Nothobranchius furzeri: one gene and its partners. The main gene of each other region encodes a partner of the protein of the gene in region 3 in a complex. Links are inferred from orthologs where the notes say so. Each region holds a gene or a part of one and is shown on either strand. Other genes may lie near its edges.

The links.
Region 1: nme5 (region 3) and ropn1l share a complex: the UniProt entries of both Homo sapiens proteins name them as parts of the axonemal radial spoke complex. The link is inferred for Nothobranchius furzeri from reciprocal best matches to the Homo sapiens genes NME5 and ROPN1L.
Region 2: the proteins of nme5 (region 3) and dnajb13 are in contact, whole or in part, in a cryo-EM structure (PDB 8WZB), measured with the Mus musculus proteins. The link is inferred for Nothobranchius furzeri from reciprocal best matches to the Homo sapiens genes NME5 and DNAJB13. Residues at the interface, in NP_542368.2 of Mus musculus: Glu52, His53, Asn56, Met193, Lys199, Pro200, Lys201, Leu202, Cys203, His204, Phe205; in NP_705755.2 of Mus musculus: Thr156, Lys157, Lys158, Thr181, Ile182, Asp183, Arg185, Trp188, Arg189, Gly191, Thr192, Arg193, Ile194, Thr195, Phe196, Glu197, Pro281.

Annotation. Positions count from the first base shown.
Region 1 is NC_091747.1:57,002,182-57,010,553, reverse strand, and holds ropn1l (ropporin-1-like protein), read right to left. Parts: upstream 4,573-8,372; 5' UTR 4,435-4,572; intron 4,089-4,434; exon of another isoform or gene 3,967-4,088; 5' UTR 3,952-3,966; coding exon 3,821-3,951; intron 3,547-3,820; coding exon 3,423-3,546; intron 3,042-3,422; coding exon 2,880-3,041; intron 2,520-2,879; coding exon 2,344-2,519; intron 1,548-2,343; coding exon 1,433-1,547; 3' UTR 1,298-1,432; downstream 1-1,297. Other genes in the region: nup58 (nucleoporin p58/p45), read right to left, coding at 6,268-6,437, 8,082-8,180. UniProt on the Homo sapiens protein: Functions as part of axonemal radial spoke complexes that play an important part in the motility of sperm and cilia. Important for male fertility.
Region 2 is NC_091750.1:48,861,059-48,869,284, reverse strand, and holds dnajb13 (dnaJ homolog subfamily B member 13), read right to left. Parts: upstream 5,621-8,226; 5' UTR 5,402-5,620; coding exon 5,334-5,401; intron 5,260-5,333; coding exon 5,156-5,259; intron 4,949-5,155; coding exon 4,787-4,948; intron 4,713-4,786; coding exon 4,564-4,712; intron 4,184-4,563; coding exon 4,070-4,183; intron 3,221-4,069; coding exon 3,107-3,220; intron 3,021-3,106; coding exon 2,944-3,020; intron 2,839-2,943; exon of another isoform or gene 2,762-2,838; coding exon 2,599-2,761; 3' UTR 2,524-2,598; downstream 1-2,523. Other genes in the region: dicarboxylate carrier UCP2, read left to right, coding at 1,126-1,251, 1,359-1,575, 1,653-1,850, 1,933-2,034, 2,106-2,286, 2,393-2,507; ras-related protein Rab-6A, read right to left, coding at 7,007-7,071, 7,801-7,867. UniProt on the Homo sapiens protein: Functions as part of axonemal radial spoke complexes that play an important part in the motility of sperm and cilia.
Region 3 is NC_091741.1:97,225,690-97,234,127, forward strand, and holds nme5 (nucleoside diphosphate kinase homolog 5), read right to left. Parts: upstream 5,025-8,438; 5' UTR 4,813-5,024; coding exon 4,678-4,812; intron 2,870-4,677; coding exon 2,670-2,869; intron 2,378-2,669; coding exon 2,277-2,377; intron 2,193-2,276; coding exon 2,074-2,192; coding exon of another isoform or gene 2,055-2,073; intron 1,965-2,054; coding exon 1,887-1,964; 3' UTR 1,790-1,886; downstream 1-1,789. Other genes in the region: hnrnpaba (heterogeneous nuclear ribonucleoprotein A/Ba), read right to left, coding at 1-152, 562-764; small ribosomal subunit protein RACK1, read right to left, coding at 5,804-5,869, 6,070-6,180, 6,371-6,511, 6,750-6,860, 7,020-7,115, 7,404-7,551. UniProt on the Homo sapiens protein: Functions as part of axonemal radial spoke complexes that play an important part in the motility of sperm and cilia. Does not seem to have nucleoside diphosphate kinase (NDPK) activity.

The DNA of each region.
Region 1 (8,372 bases), on a different chromosome or scaffold from region 3:
CAGTGTCACGTGGGTGGAGCCAGGTTATGGTCTCTTAGAGTTGGTCACAGCTGCGATTGGCTATTCTTCGTGTGTGTGTGTGTGTGTGTGTGTGTGTGTGTGTGTGTGTGTGTGTGTGTGTGTGTGTGTGTGTGTGTGTGCTCCTGACATGCGAAGCTGTCCCTGTAACATGTTTTTACTGTTAGTGCTTTCCGGCTGCTGTGATAAAACCATCTGACAGAGCCAGTCCATGAAATGAAGAGTGAATGAAACACACTCTCACACTCCGAGCTGAAAATCAGCCTCAGAGGTTAACTGCTGTAAATCTCCTCTTTTTTAATCTACTGAGAAGAAGTAATGCATCAGCAGAGGGCCCAAACGTGGTAATGCTGAAAGCTGATAGGCTGTGTGTATGAGAAATGGCAGACATCTTGCCTTTGATTGGATAACAGCAACATGACTCTTCCACTGCCTCTGATGTTTTATCTCCACAAACAGGAGTGGACTGGCCTATCTGGCATTCTGGCACTGTCCCGGTGGGCCGCTTAACCAAGTGGGCCACTTGCCCAGCTTGGGCCGTCCCAAACCAAGCCCCCGTCTCACATGCGGTTATAGAGACAAGTCCGCGAGCAGCACACACAACACCCCGTCCCTCCCCCCACATTTGGCGGGATAGACGAGTCGCGAGCAGCAACGTCCCCTGCCGAGGGCCGACGGTTCATAAAAATGCCAGGGCCAAATTTTGGTCCCAGTCCACCCCTGTCCAAAAAATAACACAAACCTGAATAGTGCTGCCGTGTGGTGGAGTTGCTAATGCTAACAGTTAGCTTCTGCTAGCCGAGATGCTCTCTGCTCTCTCCTGGCAGAAAAAAATGAACACAGCCCTCCCCATCATGAGCCAAGATGGGTGACTGGATGAAAGCTAATTTACAGTTTGACGAAGATCTGTGTGGCTTTTCCTGACCTGAGAGTTTCTCCATCAGCGGCTAATACAGGAAACAGGGGCTGAAGACTGTTGTCACATTTAGCATGCACGTGTAATTCAGAGTGACTGATCTTATTTCAAAAACAAGTACAAACAGTTTTGAAGTGAACTTGGTCTTTAAAAGGAACTTTACGGACTTTTTTTTAGAATTTTTATTCTCGCGATTGCCCCCTCAGGCCAAAAGTGTAACGGCAGCTTCAATAGTAGGCCCGTGCATGAGGACCGCATGCTGTACGTGCACACTCAACGAAAATAACAGCTGAGACAGTCCCGTGTGTGTGTGTGTGTGTGTGTGTGTGTGTGTGTGTGTGTCTGTGTGTGTGTGTGTGTGTGTGTGTGTGTGTGTGGCCCGGAGGACAGAGGACAGGAGAACGCGCAGCTAATTAATTAAATAATTTGGTTCCGTACCTTTCTCTTCAGCACAGCCGACAAAGGTTTAAGATGGGTCAGTCCTCCTGCATGCTCAGATCATTCCCTTACCTTGCTTGAAAAATTGTTCCAAAATGAAAGTTGAGCCCACATCTTTTTTATCTGTGAATTCAGTGCCGTTCGGCGAGTGTCAAATAAAAATTTGGGCATCTTACTGTAAAAAAAAAAAATATCATTAATGTAAAAAAGAAACTCTAAATAAACTATGTTCACACCCAGAATCAAACCCAGATCTTCTGCGTGGGAGTCAGACATCTTAAAAGGTGAGCTGCACTCTAGTAACATTCACAGTATCTGTAAGTTTTATATCCTTGATGACAGCTGAAACAACGTCAAACCAAAGAACGGTTGGGAGCAAAAATGGCTATTTTGTTGCTAATTTGCAGGAAATATCTAGAAAAAAGTAGCTAAGGGTCCTCAGAAATGTAGCTAGGTTCATCACTAGGCGTTAGGAACAGCGACAATGTCGCTGAGTTGGCACTACCTCACTCTCTGCTGCTAAAGCTAGTGATAGCAAATGCTACGGGCTATGCCTGAGCGTGAACGCGCATGAAGCAGCCTGCTCGACCCGAGCAGCTCTCTTTTTCTGTGATTTTACAGAAAAACAGGCAATCAGTAAAAATGCCAGGGCTCATTCTACAGGACCAGGGCATTGCAGGAGAATGTCTGAAGAAGACATTTATTATTTCTATACATGTTTTGGCTGTCAAACTTCCATGATGCCCCTTTAAAGAACATTTAGTGACTGATCAGTTTTTTTTCTTTCTGTCCTTTTCTACAGCGCTATGTGACCTCTTCCTGTTGCTAGCCTGTTTGTGTTAGACACAAACACCAGCGCATCAGTCAAATGTAACAAAATATTACAATTCTGAACATCACTACTTCAGATATTGATGTGCAAATTAATTTTGAGACAACACACACACACACACACACACACACACACTCACACTTGTGGTTGCAGACTCTTGAGAAAGGTCTGGATGTGGCTCTGTGAAACGACCCCGTCTAGGTGAGCCAAGTAGGTGTAAATCTGAACAAAAGTGTCGAAGGGGATCCTGGCAGCTCCACCTTCCTCGTCGTTTGTCAGGATCTCACAGGCGAACTTCAGGGAACTCTGGAGGTTCTGGGGGGATGCATTAGAGAAGCAGATGCAGGATTCTTCATGTTAAAGACAAGGAGACACGTTCTTTCTTAAAAAGCTTTGCATTCAGCAATAAAGAGACACAAGCAGCATCATTATGCATGCACATGCTCTGATTAGAAAAATGCTGCAAGTGTGGACCAACACTGCCCCCGTGTGGATGAAGGGCATTTATAGGAATGAATGTTCACTGAGGTTTATTAGTCTTTCTGGAGTCTGGGGGACCAAAAACACCTGGATTTTCTGCTCTGGCTGACTGATGGACACACGTGTTTTCCTGCTACGGTTCTCCAGCTGTTCTCAACCTTCAGGATTTATATTTAGCCATTTGTAACACCTCACCGCTCCTAAAGCGCTGCAGCCCAGAGCAAAAAACTCCATCCAGGTGATTTCTGACTCAAAGCTGCCCAACGACAGCATGCTCTCCAGCTGTTCCACAGGAAGACACAAGCCTTTCCATGTCCTCTCGAGTTCCTCTTTGCTGCATGTTTCCTTTGGGGACAGCTGCGATGAGGAGGAAAAAGAGGGAATTGGAGAGCTGAAGGTGAAATAATATCTATGTCAATGCCATTATAGCAGTCAGGGGAGAGTTTGTGGCCAAAAACTCAACATGTTTGTTCATTCTCTGAAAAACGAGAGAAGTCATTTGCCTTTAAGGAAGTTTTATTATGTAGTTCTTCACCAAATAGGCCAAAAAACGCTAAATATAGTAGGAAAATAATGCAGACACTAAATATCAGACATGCACAACTAAATGTATGAATAAATGTGGAGATTAAACACAATTTCTGCATTAAATTAACTATTTTCTCTTCTGTTCTATTTGAAATGTTTTGAATAAAATCTGTAGGAGCTATGATGCCTCTGCTTATAAATCCTGCTCACCTGCTTGTGGAGGATCTTCAGCAGACCTGGAGTCAGGCCAGTATCTGTCTTCTGGGTGGCAACATTCATCTCCAGCCTCTCTTTAACAGGGAGAGTGTCTCCATCAGCCAGCGCATGGAAATACCTGGAGAACACACAGCCACAGAGGAGTTGAGATGACCCTTTTCTTTTTAATTAGTGCATTCATTTATTTATCTTGTTAAGGGGAGTTAGTGTAGCCAACAGGAAAGCTTTTGCTGTCAACAGACACGAAAAAAGTGAAAGGTGCTTCTTTGTGTTATTATATTTGCATTGAGACATGTTTTTATTCACATTAATTAAAGAAAATATGTTATAACACAATTATATAATGATCCAAGCCTGACCCAAACCCAAAAATAATACAAATAGGGACTCACGCTGCACTCCATACGAGCACATCTTTGGGTTGTGTCCGAATGGCTGCTCTGGTGAAGTTTTTGAGGATGTCTGGCAGCTCGGGGGGGATCCTGATTTGCTGGGAACAATAGAGAACATCTGGAAGTGGCATGGCTGCAATTCAGTCCTGTTAGTGTACAGAACAATAAAGTTGATTAGATAACGGAGGAAATCCACTATTTTTCTTTTCCTGCATTTCTGTATAAATTCTTGCCTCATTTTTTTATTTTTACCCTGAAAGGCACTTTACAAATAAACTTTACTAACTGTAATTCTTTTGCAACTAGGTTAAAGTTCCCTGGATTTATTTTATTTACCAACATTTTTTTCAATTTTTATGACAATGGTAACCGATTCTGGTTAAATAGCTGAGAATTTAAAAAAATGATTTCCCTAACAAACTCACAAACAGGCTTTACAAAAGGCTACTTAAAGAAATCCTCACAATTTTTTGTTTTAGAACAATTTATGGCTGTTTATAATGTTTAACTATAACGAATATAGGTGATGTTTGTTGATCCATTGCTACAACTCCAAGCAGACATGTAACATTTAACTAAATAAATGTATTTGTGTCAACGCATCATAACATCACCTGATCCGAAAGAAGACGACTCTGAAAAGTAACTTTTTACCGAAAATACGTCCTAAAATAAAGGATGAGGAGCGAATTAAAAACGGATAAAGCTCGTTAGCTTCACAGGCTCCTCGTCGCATAGCAACAACTTTCTACTTCTGAGATAAAAATGCGTGCGTCACCAAACCGCTATCGCCCCCTGCTGTTCAGGACACACAAATAAGCGCGACGTGGGGTCGCGCTGTCGTAGTGGCTGGCCGCCATCTTGGAGAGGTCTCCAGTCACCCCCAGTGCATTTATTTCTACTGAGGAATGCTTACCGAACTAAAAAAAATACATTTTTTGCTAAATCAGACATGTGGGAAGGTATGATAGTTAAATACAAATAAAATAAAATATTAAATCCGAAAAGGTAGGCTAGAAAATTTATCCCATGTGATCTATTTTCAATGGAGCACCGGTTGTTGCAACTATAGGCTGCACAAAAAACAAGCATAGTTGCTCACCCTGTTGTATTTGAAGAGTAAGGAACCCACTCAATAGGGCAGCGACGCTGTTACGCTCTCCATCGCCCTATGAGACACCTACATATCCACGACTATGGTTCAGGTCTTTAGATCTCTAAACATTCAAGAAGTAAGCCAAAATCTCAAAAATATAAAATATTTCCATTAACATGGACCTTAATTATATTTTAGTTACGAAAAAATATATCTTTTACTAAAATTCTAACTTTTTCAGAAAATGAATGAAATGTCCTCCACATCTTCTTCCTACTGGGATAGAGGAGTCGTTTTATTAAACATTTGTAATAAAAATACTTCTCCACAAAACGTGATAATTTGAAAATGGAAAAATACAACAGAACTATTTTTACCAGCACATACATTTAATAATCTGGTACAATAAACTGCACCATAAACAGGCAAGAGGTTTTATTACTAAACAGCATCCTGAAAACACAGAAAGCCGCAGACTGGTTGGAAAACAACAGAACAACTACGAGTATCTGGTAACCAAAGTGACACGGACAGTTAAAAAAAGAAAACCTAAACCTCACCCAATGCTAAGAAAAAGCACGATGACCAAACTACAGGCACATTATACACATGACCACCGTTAACTTTCATACACTAAATAGTGCAAATCTGTTCGAACACGTATCACATGAGCAGGCAGAATGCGCTTGAGGGCAGAATCAACATATAAATGTCATCTATCCCAGGTTTGGTGCACAAAGAAACCATTAAAGATGACAAACCTGGACAGAAACAACATGGACATGACACAATCCAGACATTAGTCCTCTTGAACTTGTCCTGAATATCTTTCTACAAAAATATAAAGCTGTGCTTCCCCCCAAAACCCACCTAGGATGGGATAAGACATGCTGTTTTCAAACAATATTCCAGAAGTTTCTTCCCTTTACCCTTATTACTCTCCTCTGAACAGAAACGTGTGCATCGTTTAAAAGCACTTTACCGCAGCTCTGTGACGCAACACGACCAATTAGAGATTTGGGAATGTCAGCAAAATACTTTTTATTTCACCTAAACTTGTTTTAACCGGCACTCCCAGAAAGAATGAACTCAAATCTAAAACAAAAGTTTAGCCAGTGAAAACTGCTAACGATGGCTCAATCTTGTCTCTGTTGAACGAGCTCACAGTAACTTCAAATAGTCGTGGTTTGACATGATTTTATTTCATAATCGTTCCTCTCACATCCCTGACATTCTCACCATCACGTTTGATCTGTTCTATAATTTTACCACTTCTGTCTTTTTTTTTTTTTTTGAGAGAGATCAGACCTTCATCTGCTACAAGCTCAAACACATGTTCCTCTTCCCGTTTCTATCTCTTGCCCCTTTTATTCCCAGCAGGGGGCTTTTTCAGCTGGAGAAAGGGCGTTCCTGTGCCGAAGCCGGCAGCCGGTTGGTTGGACACCCCAAAGGTCAGGCCAGCGGACTGGTTGATGCCGGGGTTGCTGAAGTAAAAGCCAGAGTTGCTACTGCTACCGAAACCTAGAAAAAGGAAATAAACAAGGAAGGTCAAAAAAACAAAACAAAACTGGATTTTAAATGATTTAGGAATAAATAACTAAGCAGATGATTGCTACTTTGCTATGCTATTAGTCATGACAATATTATCAGAGGAAAAGTTGGCCTGCAGTACAAGAATGGGAAATATTGAGTATTTGCCCTTTTTTTTTTTTGGTCACATTTAAATGTTTAAGCTCAGCAAACACATTTTCGTATCAGAAAAAGCTAACCCAGGTTAAGGCCAAATGTAGTTTTAAAATGATGATTTAGCGTATTTAGATACTTGTTTTATTTCAGCCACATTTGAGGGGTTTTCCAGCCTGAAATGGCCTGTTTAAGGTCAAAGGTCAGACTTTCTCCTTCAGAATTTTCTGGTGGTGGTCCAGGCAGTTTCTCTCTTACCCCTGCAGGGTTTGAGTTATTGTTCAGAGTTCTTTTGCTTTTTGAGCTCTTTTAGCCTACTTTATGGTGGGTGGGTCCAAACTCAGGGGCTACACCCTTTGAAGGCCGATTATGTACGTCACTGCATCGTAATAAAAGCTGTCCAAATTCAACAACTCCTTCAAATGCAGCCCACAAATCCGTCTTTTCCCCGACGCGAGGACCGGTCCGGTGTATCCTCCAAGACGCATTTCGGCCCAAACGTTAGAATTTTTCAAATAACAGGTCGTTTTGGGGACTTTTGCTCCCTTGATACATAAAATCATTATTTGAAAACTGTTTATTTCTACTTAATCTTAATGTCTTTGATATTAAAATTTGTTTATTGATCCGACACATTTGTAAAGAGGCAAAGAGTTCTAACATCACCGTACACCACAGCCCAAATGTCAGCTGGTGGTCGAGATGCCAAAACAGACACCCGTAACATCAAAGGCAAATAAAGTGACTGATATTTCTAAATATTTACAGAAACTAAGGTCGTTTCTCAATGTGTGTACTTGTCTGAATGTGTACAGAGTACTTCGACGTTGGCCCAAGTACTCCTCCATTCCTAAGTACATATCATGGCAAGTATGCCCAAAGTTCCTGGATGTATTATAACGTAGCCCATTATATCGAGGACACATAAACGCTCCTTTCAGCAGACTTGAGCCAGCAAGGTATCCCATAATGCATTGCATCACAAACCGGAATGGACAATGGCAGAAGAGAATGTTTAGGAATAATTGAGTCTTAATAAATATAAAGTTGTCCTTTACTTTATATGATTCTGTGTAGCTTGTACATTTTGCTGTATCTTATTTGAGACTCTTCGCAATACCGCAAAACGTCAACTAGCTAACCCGCTATTTAAAAAACAAACAGCATTGCCTTTTAATTCTATTTCTGGTCCTCTATTTTTAACCGTAGCTTAAAGCAGCAAAGTACTGCTCTGGTCCAAACGCCGTCCTCGTACTCGGTACAATGGACTTTCTGCTGAACTTGCTAACAATGCACGTGGGTATTGAGAAACGGCCCATAACGGTTTCATGTTTATCTTGTATTGTGCAGTCCTTTAAAGGTTAGCGTAATATAAAAACATGGCCAAAATATTAGTGCCACATTACCGCTCTAATAAAGCCATTGTTTTCTTTAATATCTTTGTGATGCCAGGTGTGAGGAGGGTATGCAGCTTGTGTGTACCTGCACTCAAACTGCCTCCTGTGGGCTTACTGGTAGAGGAGAAGGCGAAAGAAGACCCCCCAGTCCCTACCCCACCAAACCCTGGCCCACCACCAAAACCTGTGAGAGAGAGCGACACGGATGTCAGACTGAGCCACGTCCACGGTCTACACTGGGAACAAATGCACAGAGCAGAGCTTCAGGCGTGCACACTGGCAGGCATAGGCAAGCACAACACCACGACCTAATGCATGGAGCTTTACACACATCAGCACTGCAGAGCAAAGCAAAGGCTGCACCAAACACCACCAC
Region 2 (8,226 bases), on a different chromosome or scaffold from region 3:
TACAAAAATAATGATTAGAAATATAAAACAGAACATCCCAGCATTATTGTGTTAATGCAGCGAAGAGCCTGATTAATGAAAGCAGGAACCCTGAGCACCAAACCTGTTCTGACTGGTGAGGTGATTACTGAACACATGGCTCTAATTTGTTGTTCAGTGGACGCTTTGCATGTTCAGCATGACTCAGCTTTTGTCTAATAATGCACAATGGATGCTCATAACAAACGACCAACTTAATAAAAGAACTTTAAGGTGAAAAATTACAGTTTTAGTTTATTTTCACAAGACGAAAAAGTTTTGTGTTTAGATTCTAATTTTCTTACTTAAGTCAGAAAAAAAGAAAGATTTTTCCAAACTCTGCATCAGATAATCAACACTTTTACAGCTTTTATTTCAGTAGATATCTTCCTGTTTGACCAGCAGTGCAGCCGGCATGAGACTCCACAGCAACATCCTGTTATGCAACAGCATCACAGCCGTATTTAAAGAGGCAGCTCTCTTCCTCCTGCCCTCTCTCCATTCACCCCCAGATTCAGGGATCGGTTCAGATATTTTCCCCTCCAAACAGTTTTTAATCCTAACAAATCAAATTACGGTAATACTAGATTATTTGAAGTATTTCTCTTTCTAGACTTTTTCCCTTAATGATTTTTCATTTCACAAAACACAGATTTTTGGAGGTTTGTATTTGTTTTCCAGGATTTGGAGTATGATGTTAGGGCTCACCGCATCTGGAAGATCTTCTATGGAAAAGCAAGGAACCAAGTTTATAGCTGGGACAAAGTTCAGCCAAAGGGACACCTTCAGAGAATCCTCATCTTTGTTCCAGTTGTAAATCTATTTAGGTAAGAATTGCATTTTCTATTTGTGTGAATGTGTGTTTCTTAAAGCTGCAATTAAAGCAGAAGTTAAAAGCAACGAGTAAAAAATGTCATTTAGATAAACAAAATAAGTCTACTAATTTATCGTGAGTCAACTTTATAAAAATACATTTTCACACAAAATACAACAATCTTTGCACGTCATGGTTTGGGTCTTTATTTCAGGTTTTGGAGGAACTTCTAGTCCTGTCCATATAAAAAATCCATATCTGGAAGTTTGTTGTTGAACAAAAGAAGTTTGGAAATGGTTGGATTTGGACCTGCAGACGTGCCTCCATCAGCAGCAGTAAAGTTTGTAGGAGCTGGAGCTGCAGCCTGCTTTGCTGACCTGCTCACCTTTCCACTGGACACTGCCAAAGTACGACTGCAGGTAAATAAAAGCATAGCTTCACCTCCTCTTATGAAGAACATTTTTGTGACTCATCAATGATCTAATTGTTTTTTTTTTAAACTGAGTTTCTTTTATATGTTACAAAGATCCAAGGAGAGGCCAGCGCGCCATCAGCATTGGGGAAAGTGGCTGCAGTGAAGTACCGTGGCGTTTTCGGCACCATCACCACCATGGTGAGAACAGAGGGACTCCTGAGTCTTTACAGCGGACTGGTGGCAGGACTCCAGAGGCAGATGAGCTTTGCTTCTGTCCGAATAGGTCTCTATGACTCTGTCAAACAGTTCTACACTAAAGGCTGTGATCGTAAGTCGATGCTATAAAAAAAATCCATTTGTGGAACTTTGCATTAAATTCGGCATCTCTCTCTCTTTGACGCTCAGATGTTGGCACTGGCAGTCGGCTGCTTGCAGGATGCACCACAGGCGCCATGGCTGTTGTGTTTGCTCAGCCCACAGATGTAGTGAAAGTCCGATTTCAAGCACAGGCCATGTCTGGCAAGCATGCTAGACACTACCATGGCACTATTGATGCTTACAGAACCATTGGTAGGGAGGAGGGCATTCCTGGTCTGTGGAAAGGTGAATTACTCCAAAAACCTGAAGTCTCTTTTCTTCATCCATGAAAATAGTTTTTTTGCAATCATACACCTCTTCCACCCAGGTACAATGCCGAACATCGCCCGCAATGCCATCGTTAACTGCACAGAACTGGTCACGTACGACTTCATTAAGGATCTACTTCTCAAGTCGACGCCTCTCACAGGTAAGTCGTAGACCCAACACGACACAGACGTGTTTGAGTCCTGGACGTAACCTTCAGCCTGTACCCCACAGACAACCTCCCTTGCCACTTTGTGTCAGCCTTCGGCGCTGGTTTGTGTACAACCATGGTTGCCTCTCCCGTTGACGTGGTCAAGACAAGATTTATGAACTCGGCTCCTAAACAGTACAGCAGCGTCCTCAACTGTGCTGCCGCCATGATGGCAAAAGAAGGCCCACTGGCCTTTTATAAGGGGTAGCGCAATAACAGAAGAATGTTAAAATCTTTGAGAGAGATAATTCAGACGAGTCTTTGGCCGTTTGCACAACTAAATCTACATCTGCTCTGTTTTGTCTTTTAGCTTCATGCCATCTTTCTTTCGGCTGGGCTCCTGGAACGTGGTGATGTTCGTAACTTATGAGCAGCTGAAACGAGCCGTCATGGCTGCAAGTCACAACCACACCGCTGCATTATAATCAACAACAGCACAACTGCCTTGTCAGCATTCTCTTTATATTTAGTCTTCATTTAACAAATGTTGTCACTTTTTTAGACGTAAATAAAACTTTAGTCATGTGTGGTGCCAAGAACTTTTTGGATCAGATGTCTTCTTTCAGCAGAGAGCATCTTTGGAAACTGAGTGTCAAAAGTAAGGACGAGGTTTCCTCTCTGCGACGGATCCTGGGGCAACGGCATTCCTTCTCCAGCCACCACTTTCTCATATGTAGGGCTGGAATGTTGTGACACCAAAGAAAGTGAAAAGTTAGGGTAAACAATGCAAAAAAAAAAATAAAAACTGTTCAAAAATTGTCCTCCAAATCTCTCGAGTGTCCAGCTTCTGATGTAATCAACATGTTTAATTAATAGAGTACTTTTTTAGTTAATGACTGGAGCTTGGAATTCCCAACTTACTGTACAATGTCATTGATGGGAATGTTGAGCAGCCTGCCATCTAGTGTCGGCACATTCACAGAAAAGCCGGTTAGAGCCTGTTGGAAAGGAAATCGCCTTCCAGCTCCAGTGTTTATTGCCTTTATGTAATAAAAATCAATTATAAAACATCACCATGACTCACCATCATCAGAGAGATCTGGGTTTTGTAGATAAGGTCATTGTTTCGTCGTACAAAAAGAGGATGACTCTTTTGTCTCACGGTGAACACGATGTCTGCCGGAACACGGTTAAGTCCCTGATGGTAAAAACACAATTAGAATACAGATGTGACCGAGCGTAAGGCTTAGACACCCACAACCAGAACCCCAGGCGGGTCTGGTTATAATAAGGAACCAAGGCAGAGGTAGAGAAAAACAGGGCCTTTATTTATTTCTGTTCGGACTTCTTAAAAACAGCTTGTACCTGAACGTAGATAAAAATGAACTCAATTGAGCAGCAATGACAAGCTAACAATCAGAAAACAAGGCCCACAGAGAGACTCTAGTAGCCACCCTCCACCTACCTGTGACTAAAGCAAAACCCTTCAAACCAGCCAAAATCTCACAGCAGCATGACAACCATGACAACCACCTCCCTAACAGACCCCCTGGTCTGCACACCTTTTTATAATCAGCCCATCAAGGAGTGGCTGAGATTGAGCTGAGACACATTCAAGGGCCATTCCTACCGTGAGAAATACTAAAACACCACCCACATATCACCGGGATGACCAGTTACCTGGTTACACAGATTAAATACAGAGTTGGCGTTTAATGTCATTAGATCTAATGAAGCTAAAAGCATCTGGATGTTCTGACATGAGTCAGCGATGTTCTGCTGAAGCCAACAAGTGAAAATGATTTATTATTAATGGGAAGGAATAGAGCAAATTTATTTTTGTTAAAATGCTGAAATAGTCGTTGGTTTTTAATATGGAAATCTATGAAAAACAGCAAATGACAAAAACAAAATAAAAATGTATTTATCAAGGGTGAAACAGGAAGGTTAACTGAAATTAGAAACATCCATTTAAATTTTCTGGCATTCATTTCACAGCTAATTTTCAATCATTTAAAAAAATGTTAATTTTTCACTTTTTTCCCACCTGATCTCCTTCTTTGGGGAATATGATTCTTGTGCCTTCTTTCCATCCACGTTTCACTTCTATAGTCAGAATCTTTTCCTGGATTTCAGAAGATTGTCCATCTTCATTTATAACCTGGAATGCAGTGTGTAATGTTTACAAATTCAACATAATAAATAGATTTTTTTTTTTTGTTATTTGTGGGATTGTGTTGCCTAGTTCCATGCCCAAGTAATCTGTGGCTGGTCTGAGGCCCCAAATACATCAACAGAACAAAACATAAAGATCTAAATTTCAGAAAACAGCAGCAAAAAACTCACCGGAAATTGTATTTTGTATGGTTCCATTTGTTATGTGAAGTTTTATTTGCTTTGTGACATGTTGTGTATTTTAGTCTTAACCGCTTCACATCAATGGACAAGATAAGTACTCAGTCTAGGATGTATTAGTGATTTAACCACATGGACTTCAGGCAGATTAAAATCATGGTCTCTGATAAATAAAGTAGCTTCTACCATGCGGGAGAGCTGGATCTTTTTTATGCATCCGAGGTACAAATCATCTAGTGACAAGAAAATATCTCTCTCTATCGGAGAATCTTGAACTTTCACCACTTCTGGATGCAAGCCACAGAGCTGAAGCGGCGATTCGATGGTAAGAAAATCTAAAAGAAAAAGAAAAACTTTATAAATGCAAGTCTGGGTTAGAAAAGGCACAGTGGTTAGTATTTTTTCTCACCTGCAAATGGGTTATCTCCTCCAAAAAACTGTCTGAATGTTTGTTCTGGATTCCCGTGGTAGGCATATTTTGGAGTCCAAGCTCCATCTGTGCAAAACTCAGCCGGGGCACCGTCTTTTAGACCCTCTTCACCAAAATGATCATAAATCGCCTTCTTTCGAGCTTTCACAAAGACAAAGCGGGATATTGTTGTATGTTGTGTAAATATTATGAAAATATTCTTGATTTATCCTGATTGAAATAAATATTGGATCTGTGTAGAGCATGTTACGCATTTCCCACGAGCTTGTTACTATAGTCTACATAAGACGTGTTCGTTAGTTATTTTCAGCATTTTGTTACAAAAACAAACAACCCGAGTCACACTACCGTCGCTAAGAACATCGTAGGCTTCACCCAGCTGGGCGAATCTCTCAACACTTCCGGGTTGGCTGTTCCTGCTGGGATGAAACTTCGGCGCGAGACGTCGATATCTGAAGATTAATATTAAACATGATGAACAAAGTAACAAACCCGCAAAAATAAAACATTTTATAGTCAAACTTACGCTTGTTTGATTTCTGCATCTGTTGCGTTTCTGTTTATTTCAAGCGTATCGTAATAGCCGTTAATCATTGTGAGTATAAATGCCAGCTAGCTGTGTTAACCAGTTTAGGGTTCAGCGCGTTTGAGTTTCTATGGTGACATCTCGGGAAACTCTCGCGAGAATAAAAAAAAGTGTTCTGGTCGTAAACATAACTCACAAGCCTATTTAGGTTATCATACATATAGCTTAGCTTTGACAAATTATTTCTATTTATTAGCTAAATTAATCACAATATTATTAAACTGACCGGCTTTGAAAAGCCCCCCCCCCCCCCCCCCCAAAGTTCAAAAACACATTTAATTATTGAAAAGGTTTATGAATGTTTCTCATAATTCACACAAAATCTGTTGCAACACCTTTTCACATGACACAGATCAACTCCAGCAGTGGAAACAAGAGTATATCTATTTATTCTTTCAATTAAAACCATTCCAGACAGAAACGTTAGGACTACTATGCTATACGTATTGGACTCTCCTCCATAAGTTCACACAGAAAAATTGCACAATATCATCAACGTGATCGAACTCCCGCTTCAAAGTGACAAACAGCAGACCCTCACCGACGACGTAAAAGGTGTCCAGAAGGTGAATGCATATCTTAGTAGATTTGGAAATCATTACCATGAAGAGGCAATATTAACAGCCATAAAAAAGATGCATGAATTCAATAGAAATAAATACTTCAAGTCATTGTGGATTAAATATGTGTGCTGACTTATCACTGACAAAAGATCAACAAGTAAAAACAAGCAGAATAAAACAAAGCTCAGAAAGTTTGTTTTCATAAATGGTTTGAAAAGTAAAGACAAGGAAGCCCTCTGCGGGTTTACTTCTCATCAGTGATGTTCATGGCGGGTTAGAAGAGATAATCCTTAGACACCAGCAGTAAAAAAAAAGAAGCTGTAGTCTGGTACTGTAGCTGTACTCTTTAGGGGGAAATATCAGCACAATGCTCCAATTAAGAACAGAAAACTAAATAAAAAAGGTGTAAAAAGCAACAAAAACTAGTTTTAAAGAAACATTTCAGAGGATGTGCAGGACAGTTTGTAGTATGGCCACACACTCAGGTGTGTAGTAGATTCAGTGTCCACTAGCCCATTTTAATAAAAAGCATCTCAGTACTGCTGTACGTCTCTATTCGGAACATGTTGATTAACTTAAATGAGCCTCAGATTATTATTATTTTTATTTATTTCAGAAGTTAAAATAAAATAATTCTTGTCAGTCTGTTTCAACTGGAATTAGTTAAAATGATGTTAGTTGACAAATTCTACAACACCCACTCTGCTAATTAAACTTAAAGGAATATTTGTGTTTTTTGCCATCATAAAAGAAAAAAGCACAATGCAGAAATTTTTAGTATTTAACTGCTTGGGTAAAAAGGGAGGCAAAGATTTTCAAGACCAAATAACACAGAGCAACTATCTTCACCTGAGGTGAACAGAGGTGGCAGGTGTGAGTATGGTTTTGTTACAGTGCAAATGTCAAATTGTAGTGATATGTGGCTTTCAGAGCATCCCGATGAGACGGCTTTAGTGTTGTTAGGCTGGGGAACTGAGGCAGGTGTAGTGGAGGGTATATACAGAGAAACGGACCGGGTCTCAGAAAAAGCCCCAAACTAAGATGAGTCCATTAGCAGGAACAGCCTCCTTCGCTGGCGGACTGCTCGAGCGGTTTCTCCAACTTGATGTCGATCACTGAGAGAGTTGAGAGTTAAAGACAATAACGTGAATCAAACATCAAAACTGAACCTTAATGAAACCACTAGGTGTCAGAGTCACAGAAGTCACACACGTCCATTGGCAGATCTGCCAACCTTGTCAACATTTTTGAGAACCACATGCGCAACGGTTTTTTTTGTTGCACTTTTGCAACTCTGTTGCTTTCCATGCTGTAATGTCCCCGTTCACTGGCTGGAAACATCTTCTTGAATAGTTTAATATTAAATAGTAAAACTCAAAAGTTGCAGTAGATTTAGAGCTCAGCCAATTCTGATGGTCCTCATTTGCTTTTTGTAATTATTTAATCTCTTGTTCTCGTTAAAAAAATAAATGGACAAATAAATAAATATTCACATCGGCAAGCCATCTCTGAGGTGACCCATAAGCAGGGTTGGTACAATTACTTCAACAACTGAAATAGCTCCAGTTTCAAATGTTGATTTGCACAAATTGGATGTTTTAACGCATGGAGGCTGCAATGTTAACAGCTGAAATAGCAGGAAATAATACAGTTGACTAAATAAAAATTCCTCAGCTGGATCACATGTGCTTTTGGGTGAACAGATCTAAAGTGTTATGAGGGTTAAATGACTAAAGCAGATGTCATAATGCTACGTTAGACTTTCCCCATGGCAGAAAATATTAGAATGATTTGATATGACATGACCTCCCCATCATGTCAGACAAAGATATGCAAAAGGATACTGTCCTCTCTGCTCTTGTCCTGTGTGGTGTCCATCCCAGGAAGGGCAGCTGCCACACGGCGAAACAGCTGCAGGTAAAAAAATAAAAAATAATTCTGTCAGAAATATTTAAAAAAAATATGATTAAAAAAACAATAAAACATGCTTGTGTGCTGTGTGTGAGCCCTGTTCATGATAAAGCATACGTTCAAATAAAGCTTGCACACAAGACATCTCATCAGAGCTTTGTCCAAAGTCGACAACTAGAAAAACAGCTGGCGTTGGAGACATGCTTTGTATGAGAGCCTTGGGAAAACGAGGTTGAGCTACTCAGCGGGAAAAAATATTTTAAATGACTGATGGATCCTTGTTGGGCTACAGAAACATGCTAATCCTCCCAAAGAAATGCATCAAATGAAACCACATGCAGATTTCCTAGCAACACACG
Region 3 (8,438 bases):
AATCTTTAAAGAGAATAAAACCAAAGCCTCTTGATCGGCCGGTCTGCTGGTCCATCTTGATGGTGCAGTCGGTCACTTCACCAAATTTTGAGAAGTAATCTTTGAGATCCTTCTTACTGGTGTCCCAGCTGAGGCCACCAACAAACATTTTCCTAAACACAGAAGCAAGTGCACATTTAGTCATACAGGGTGGCAGAGGGGAAGGGTGCAGAAGCGGAGGGGGCGTCAGTATACATGATGTACACAGTGTTCCCAACACATCTGTTGACCTAGTGGCGCGTGGGGGAGGGGGCACCTTATGGTGTTATAGCCTTGAGCTACTTCATAAATATGATTAGAAAAATCTATGACGTTATAAACGAGTAAAATGCCCATTTATGTGTGGATTCTGCAGATAAGTCAGTGCTGTTGGATGCCATTCCCTCCGAAACGCCCATCCCCCTCCACTCTGCACATGGCGCCAACAAAAGGCCGGCTGAACAAAGAGACATTTGTAAAACAAGATCACGTTTTATTGTTGCCCACTTCATACAAACACAACTTAAGACGTGCAAAACTCACCCGGCATCTTCTTCACCTTTGCTGGCGTCGATTTGGCCGCCATCGGAGCCTCCATTTTGCGAGTCAGTCCCCGCACCTTGTCCGCAGTCAAGCTCGGCGCCGCCATCGTCCCCCTCGTCAGTGTGGCCGGCTCCGTTAAAATCATCGTCGACTTCATGGCCGTTCTCCGATGTTTCCATGTACTGTTGCTCCGCCTCAGACATTTTTCACTAATGCACCTAAAACCACACAGAAGAATTACCTAGTTTTTTGCACAATAAGCGCCGGTGTTTCCACAAAGCCTCGCCACTGACGTGGTGCCACTGCGTGCGTACCCCACCATTTTGGCCGGCGAAGCCGCGTACGCACGTAGCAGTACTTGGCCGCTTCCTCACAAAACCCGTTAACTAGACGCAATCTATCGTACACTTCTGCTGAAGGGCAGCGATTAGCAACGCTGTTGCCCTCTGTGTCACACAGATAAACCAAGGCTGGACTATGCAACTAAAATTCGCAGTTACGTAAGCTACAGACAAGAGGCCGTAACGGCACGAAATGTGGCCTCGTGACGCGGTTAACACATTTGTTCAACGTTGACCTGAACAAATATGGAGGGGCAACACAATACCGGACTGTCTAAGCGTCAGTCTTCTAAAACACGATCAAGCTATAAAAATATAACAGTACTTACTGGTCGCACAACCAGAGAGCTCTCTTCAAGATGGATTCTCCCACACGACGCCAACTCGTGGTTGGTTTTTCAGCACCGGTAGGGTGGGGGAGACAGTTCTGCCAAGAGGCAACGTGATTGGTTAAGGCAAGCTGTCAATCGCAGCATCACCCAATCACAATGCGTCAATGTCTCTTTCGTCCAAGTCGTTCACGCCTTCAGAACACAGGAAGGAACTCGATGAACCTTTTTTCAGCTGCTAAAACTTGTGTATTCGGTGGAGATAGCCACGCTGTCGATCAAAAAAATAAATCCTACAAACTGTCAGCTTTGACCCACAATTATTGCTTTTCACTCAGACTCCGGTGGGGTTTACTCCAGAGCAGCAGCACAATCTGTTTTGATGAATAAAATGGCCAAAACAGTGTTTAACGAACATGGTGTCTGTTTTAACCACGTAACCTCTTGCATTCAATTATTTGATGGGACATTTTTCACTGATTTAATCAATGATGCAAGATGAACTCATTGGAGAATAAGGCCTGAGATAATTATTATATAACAGAAAAATAAAACATGTCAACTGCTGAAAATCCTGTTTATTATTGTACACCAACAGACTGAAGAGTTTGTCAAAAGCAAAACCACTGAACCGACTTCCCTCCTTGTTTCTCCATCAGTCTTCCACAGTGTCCTTGTCGCATATCTGAGGCTGGTTTGGATTGTTTTTCAGAAGCCAGTCAGCTAGCCAGATCTGTTGAATACAAATATGCAGGACAGAAATCAACATGTTAACAATAACCCCTTCAACAGCAGATGAATAATATTTAATATCTTTCCTCACACTGAGCATCAGTCCTTACACAGGGGTTCAGAGGCTTTTCCTTGCAGAGTTCAGTGAGTCCCTTCAGCAGGGCTGGATTTACATACTGGTTCATGTATTCTTCTGTTTCACATCTTGAAGGAACATGTTCAGCTATAGCTACAGAAAGAGAGGATAAGGGATAGATCACAGTCAATAGTAATTACCTTTAAGAATAATCGCATGGGTGAGAGAGGAACATACAGTTTGGGAACATGAATTTGATCTCCCTCTCAGCTTCGTCACACGAGTCGCTGCCGTGGAGGGCATTTTTCAGCTCAGACGTTCCATATTTTGCTCTGAGGCTAAAGGCAGAATAGAAACTAAAGATTTACAGCTCAGACCAGTAGCACATTCACAAATGAACTCAAGGTGAGCACATAATATTCGGAAAAATGGCAGTGGGTTTTGTAGGTACAAAAGAAATATATCAGGGGAAACGGTATGCAAAAATTGTCGGTATGTCTTAATAAATTGGGATGTAAGTAGAAACCTGCCTCAAGAGGACATTTAAATCCTGAGTCTTTGTAAAAAGACAAACATTGATTTTACTACATAAATGCTTTTTTTCTACTGGCAGAAATATCTGCGATTTACCATTCTGGGTGGGTTTCTCTGGCTTTGGTAGCATTGGCAGGCCCTATAAGGGACTTCCAGTGGGCGATAGCATTGTCACGAGCCAGCATCAAGGCAACAATGGGACCAGAGCTCATGAAGGCCGTCAAACTGGGGAACATGAGTGTCTGGTCTGCGTAGAAGTCGTGGCATTGCTCTGGACTCAGCTGCAGCCTTCTCTTCTGCCACAGAAAACAGAGCAGTGGAGTGAGTGAACCACTGTGGTGGAAAATAGAATATAACTTCAAAAATATTAAGCTAGTTCAGACAGCTCAGATTTGTTTAAATGGACAAGTGACACTGTGAAGCTCTCACAGACATTATACTTCAACTTTTCATGAATCTGTCTAAAGCAGTTCTGTACAGTACTGCAATATCTGACAAAAATAGAACCAAGGGGAGCAGTAATTTCAATTGTAAACTGTAACAATGTTTTAGAATAGAATACACTTTATTAATCCCACTATGGGGAAATTAACTTTCTACAGCAGCGGCGCATATGCTTAGAAAAGGAAGAAGAAGAAGATCACAGGTAAATACACAAAGGTATTATTGTTAGCTTCAACAACTAAAAACCACAAATAAAAAAAGAAAAACTTGGATTCCAGAACTATGCAGCACAAGGGACACAGACATGCTGATGTACATCAGGTATTGCACAAGTATTGAACTCATACTAAATATTGCACAGATGTTATTGTGTAACAGGATAATGCCAGTACCAGTTGATCTCAGGAGTTTTACACTCTTACTGCTGAGGGGATGAATAACCTACAGCAGCTTTCTGTTTTACATCTTGAATGTCTCAGTCTGCCTCTGAAGGAGCTGTCCATGGCCTCCACAGTGGAATGCAATAGGTGGGAGGGGTTTTCCAAAATGGGAGGTCCTTTTGCCCACCATCCTCCATTCACATGTCTCCTCAACTGAAACTAGTTGGCAGCCCAGAAGCGAGCTTCCAGTCTTGGTCAGAGCTGCCTGCACCCCAACGAAGGTGGTTACATTCACACCGGTCCACAAAGTCCATTGTGACTGACCTGTACTCCAGGTCATTCCCCTCAGACACACAGCCGACAGTGGTTGAGTCATCTGAGAACTTCTGGAGGTGACAGTTGCTGGTTTTGTAGCTGAAGTCCAAGGTATAGAAGGTGAATAGAAAGGGTGAGAGCACCATACCCTGTGGAGCTCCAGTACTGCACACAAACACATCAGACATATAGTTGTGCAGCCTCACGTACTGTAGCCAGTTGGTGATAGTTGATGGTCCATGCAGTCAGATGTTCAACCACTCCTGCACCCCTCATCTTCTGCTGCAGTAGACACGGCTGTATGGTGTTAAAAGCACTTGAGATTGCTTTTTTGCATTTTGAGGTGAGCCAGCACCATCGACATATACCCAGTGCTGCAGGTAGAGGAGGGTGTCTTCCACCCCCATGTATATTATTTGGTGTGTAGCTGCACACATTACAGTTCACTGTTTTAGGTCTTCCACTAACTTGTCTATGCAAATTACTGACAGGTCATGGTCAAGAGTGAATGTGAAATTTCAGTCAAAAAATATAAGTAATCTGTAGTATTTAACATCCACACATTCCTAGATCAAATGGTTGACATGTTTCAGTTAACAGCAATAAGTATCTTTGAAGTGCAATTAGTAAAAAAAAAAAAAAAAAAAAAAAAAAGAAAGAAAAAAGATGTACAGAAACACCATGCAGACATTCACCTTTAAACGTTTAAAAGGTGTCTTAATAGGGTTTCCAGTAAAATTACAGCCCGTTACTGCCCTCTACTGAAAAAACTACGTAAGAGCCACACGGCCTCAAAAAGCGGTCACCTTTTGAAGCCATGAAGCGTAATATTTGAAACCAGATCGTAGGATGATCAATGGAAATCAGCGTTTATCGGGCATCTAAATAAATCTATTTTAATAAAAATATCTTCCTTCCACAAATATTGAAAACGCGCCTCTAGAAAGTAGGTGACTTCCACTCACCTGAAGTATACTGAAGCCAGATTTGACGATAACATTCTCAATCTCATCTGCCAGCTGAAACGCGTCTGGCTTAATGACGGCCAGCGTTTTCTCTACGATGACACGGTGATATGGCCTTTTACGATCCATCTTCATCTGAACGCTAAATGGCCACGAAATACGGCTCACGCAAAACTTGACTATGTAGCAGTAAACTAAACAAGGAACTCCAACCTGGAGCAGCACTCTGGGCTCGTTCTGTCGACTAGTTGCTAGGATACAATTACGGCGTCTGAAGTAGGACAATCCATGCGAATTGCAAACGTCAGTTGAACTTTCCAAATTACAAGCCCCAGATTTAGAAAACCACCAGTTAAATCAAAATTTTAATGACCGGTTGTCCCATGGTTTTTTTTTTGTGTAATTTTAATTCTGTATTCCATTTCAGATTAGCAGCCAAGATTTAATGTACAAGCAGTTATTTGAACAGTGTTAAAAAATAGAAATGTTTCAGACTTTAAATCCCATTTCACTTAATAAAAACTGGTCCAAGCTGATAGGGATGTTTCCATCCTCACAGCAGAATCAGTTCAATCTCCGCTCAAGTGAACTTTTGCAATTTGTTGTTCCTAAGGTTCGCAGAGCTGGGAAAGTCGGCTTTTAGCTTTGCTGCTCCATCAACATGGAATTCACTACAAAAAGATCTAAAAATCAAGGATTTGGTTTCCTTGAGTGGATTTGACTGATTAGGTCACTGGAATCCAGACCATCAGTGTGTTTGTTTTAATTGAGTTTATGTGGAAATGTATTTAAATGTGAATGTATTAATTTTGTAACTTGTGCTGCTGCTCTGTCCGTCTTGGCCAGGTCTCCCTTGCAAAAGAGATCTTGTATCTCAATGGGACCAACCTGGTTAAATAAAGGCAAAATAAGTAAAATAAATAAATACAGAAACTTAGTTTTCCCTAATTTTTCAATCATTTTTTCACGTTACTGTTGATCATTGTTTCAGCAGATTTTTTTAAATCGATGTGATCGATGTTCCCTTTTGATAAAAAACAATTTAACAGTCAAAATTAAATACAAGATCAAAACATTTTATTTTCAAAGAGTCTCTTTATTCAAAGCTGCATTAGCAAGGCTGTTCTTATCGTGTTCCAATGGTGACCTGCCACACTCTGATCAGGTTGTCAGTGTAGCCAGCAAACAAGGTCTGTTGAGTAAAAGAGGAACAGAAGTTAGCATCCATAATAGCACGCTTTTCAAAAAGGCTCAATCATGTGAGTGGTTCTCTGGTGCCCCTCATATTTGCAGGACTGTCAGCAGAATTAATCAGAGTTAAAAGTGAATGGGTATAATCACAGGGGTCACAACAGAAATCTGCATTTAAAGGTCCTCCAGAGAGTGTCGTACCTGTCCATCAGCAGACCACGCCAGGGAAGTACACTGTGGCGGTTCTGCCTTGCTGTTCGTGCTGATCACTTCCTGTTTCAGTTCATCCACAATGATCTTGCCCTCCAGATCCTGAATGAGGTAAAAGAGAACCAGAGTGATGGTATCTCTAACCAAGGTAATAAGTAACATACCTGAATTTATTGACATTCTCTATTGGGTCGGAGCTCAGAAACAGCCTCTGATATCATCAAACAATACAGCTAACATTTTAAATTTCATCACAGTCCTCCTTGATAACATGTTTAGCTTAACATCTTACCCAGATCTTGATGCTGGGGCCGGTGGCGGCACAGAGCCAATAACGGTTGGGGCTGAAACAAAGGGCGTTGATGGTGTCACCACTATCCAGGGTGTACAGGTGCTTGCCTTCATTCAGGTCCCACAGCATGGCCTGGCCATCCTGAACACCAACAGAAAACATTCTTCAGTGATTACATCGCAGCTCTTAACACGATACCCAACCCCACAAACGGGGATCGTGACAAGTTCAAGTCGTGCTCAGAAACAGCCTCTATTGTCATCATTTTAAAACAGATGTATGATTAATTTTCCATCATTGCAAAAACTTGTCCGTTCACTTAAAGATTCTAAAAAAGAACATTTTACAGAAATCTACAATTACTGGAAGCAGATGTTACCTTTCCACCAGATGCACACAGAGAGCCATCAGGGGAGACGGTCACTGTGTTCAAATAGCCAGTGTGACCAATGTGGTTGGTCTTCAGCTTGCAGTTGGCCAGGTTCCACACCTGAGAGGCATCACACCCGAGACAGAACAAACATCAACATCCAACATGGAAGCTAATCATAAAAAAGGTTGTCTTACGCAAGTAGTCAGCTAATAAATGCAAACTAAGTTAAACCATCTAACCAGGACCAAACATTAGCAAATTACTAGTAAACCATACCTTGACCACCTTGTCCCAGCCACAGGAGACAATGATGGGGTTGCTGCTGTTGGGGGAGAAGCGAACACAAGACACCCACTCAGAATGGCCTTCATCCTGCAAAATCAAGTTTGAACAGTTTAAAGTTCAGCTCATCCCAACAATGGCTCACTTTAGCTCATGTAACCACCGAGACTTATTCCATGATCCTGACACACTACACACTTAAAACCATCATACAGATTTAGTCCACAATGCTCCAGCTGATGGCTGAGCTGTGTGCTCTACCTCAGAAAATGTAAAACTAGTTAAAAAAAAAAAAAAAAGCTTGAACAAAAACTAAATGAAAACCAAAGAAGGAACAGCTCTAAGCAGCAGCAGCAGCAGCATTAAGTGACAGCTCACCTGAATGGTGTACTTGCAGACTCCAAGAGTGTTCCACAGCTTGATGGTCTTGTCTCGGGAGCCAGATACAATCTGACGGTTATCAGCAGAGAAAGCCACACTCAAAACATCCTTTGTGTGTCCAACAAACTGACGGGTGGTGGTGCCACTAGAAAAACACAAGATTAAGACGTCCGATTAGAATAAAGCTATATTAAGTTTACAGTTTAAAATGCCTGCCCTCCTCTACTAATTATGGCCTCTACAAGCTACAGTCATTTAAGGAGTTAAAACAGTTTTTTTCCCCACTTGTATTCAAACAAATCACTTTAGTACACAAACCTTAATGCCGATCAATGACAATTTTTTTTAGGTTCAGTTTATATCGGGTTCCAGCACTTTAGCCAGAATCAAATTCCAGCTCCTCACTTAGATGATTAAAACTGTTCAAACATGGACTGTAGTTTTATTCCTGTATAAACCCCAAACCCATTTATTTAGATCTACTGTTCTCTTAAGTCACAACTAAGGAGTGTATAAAGTGATGAAGGTGTAGTAAGGACAATAACACTGTGGAACAACAGTGTCGGGTACAAGAAACTGGGAGAATTTATTTTATAGGATCTCTGACAAACATTGTAATTGTATATAACTGCATTTTTAAATGTCTGCTGTTTATTATTTAGTGCGAGATTACTGAAGTTCTATCTGTGGTACAAAACACTAGTATAAAAAGCTGTTGCACGGTCATGTACACGCAAATGAAGTTTGTTCACCAAGATTGGGTTTACACATGGTGTAGCTTAACTAGATGTCATTTCCCAACTGTTTTATGGCTTAAGTTATGTTCCCTGGCAACTTGGTATTTAGAGGTCATAAGTGCTGAAATGTTTGTAGCTCTAGTAACAAATACGCATTAGCGCGGACTGTGTGTTAACATCGGTTCAAACACATTTTCATTTATAGAACAAAGGTGACAAATCATATCTTTAAAACTATCCAGGATGTTTGTTACAACTTAAATTTAGAAAGGACATACTTCCAGCTAATACAAAC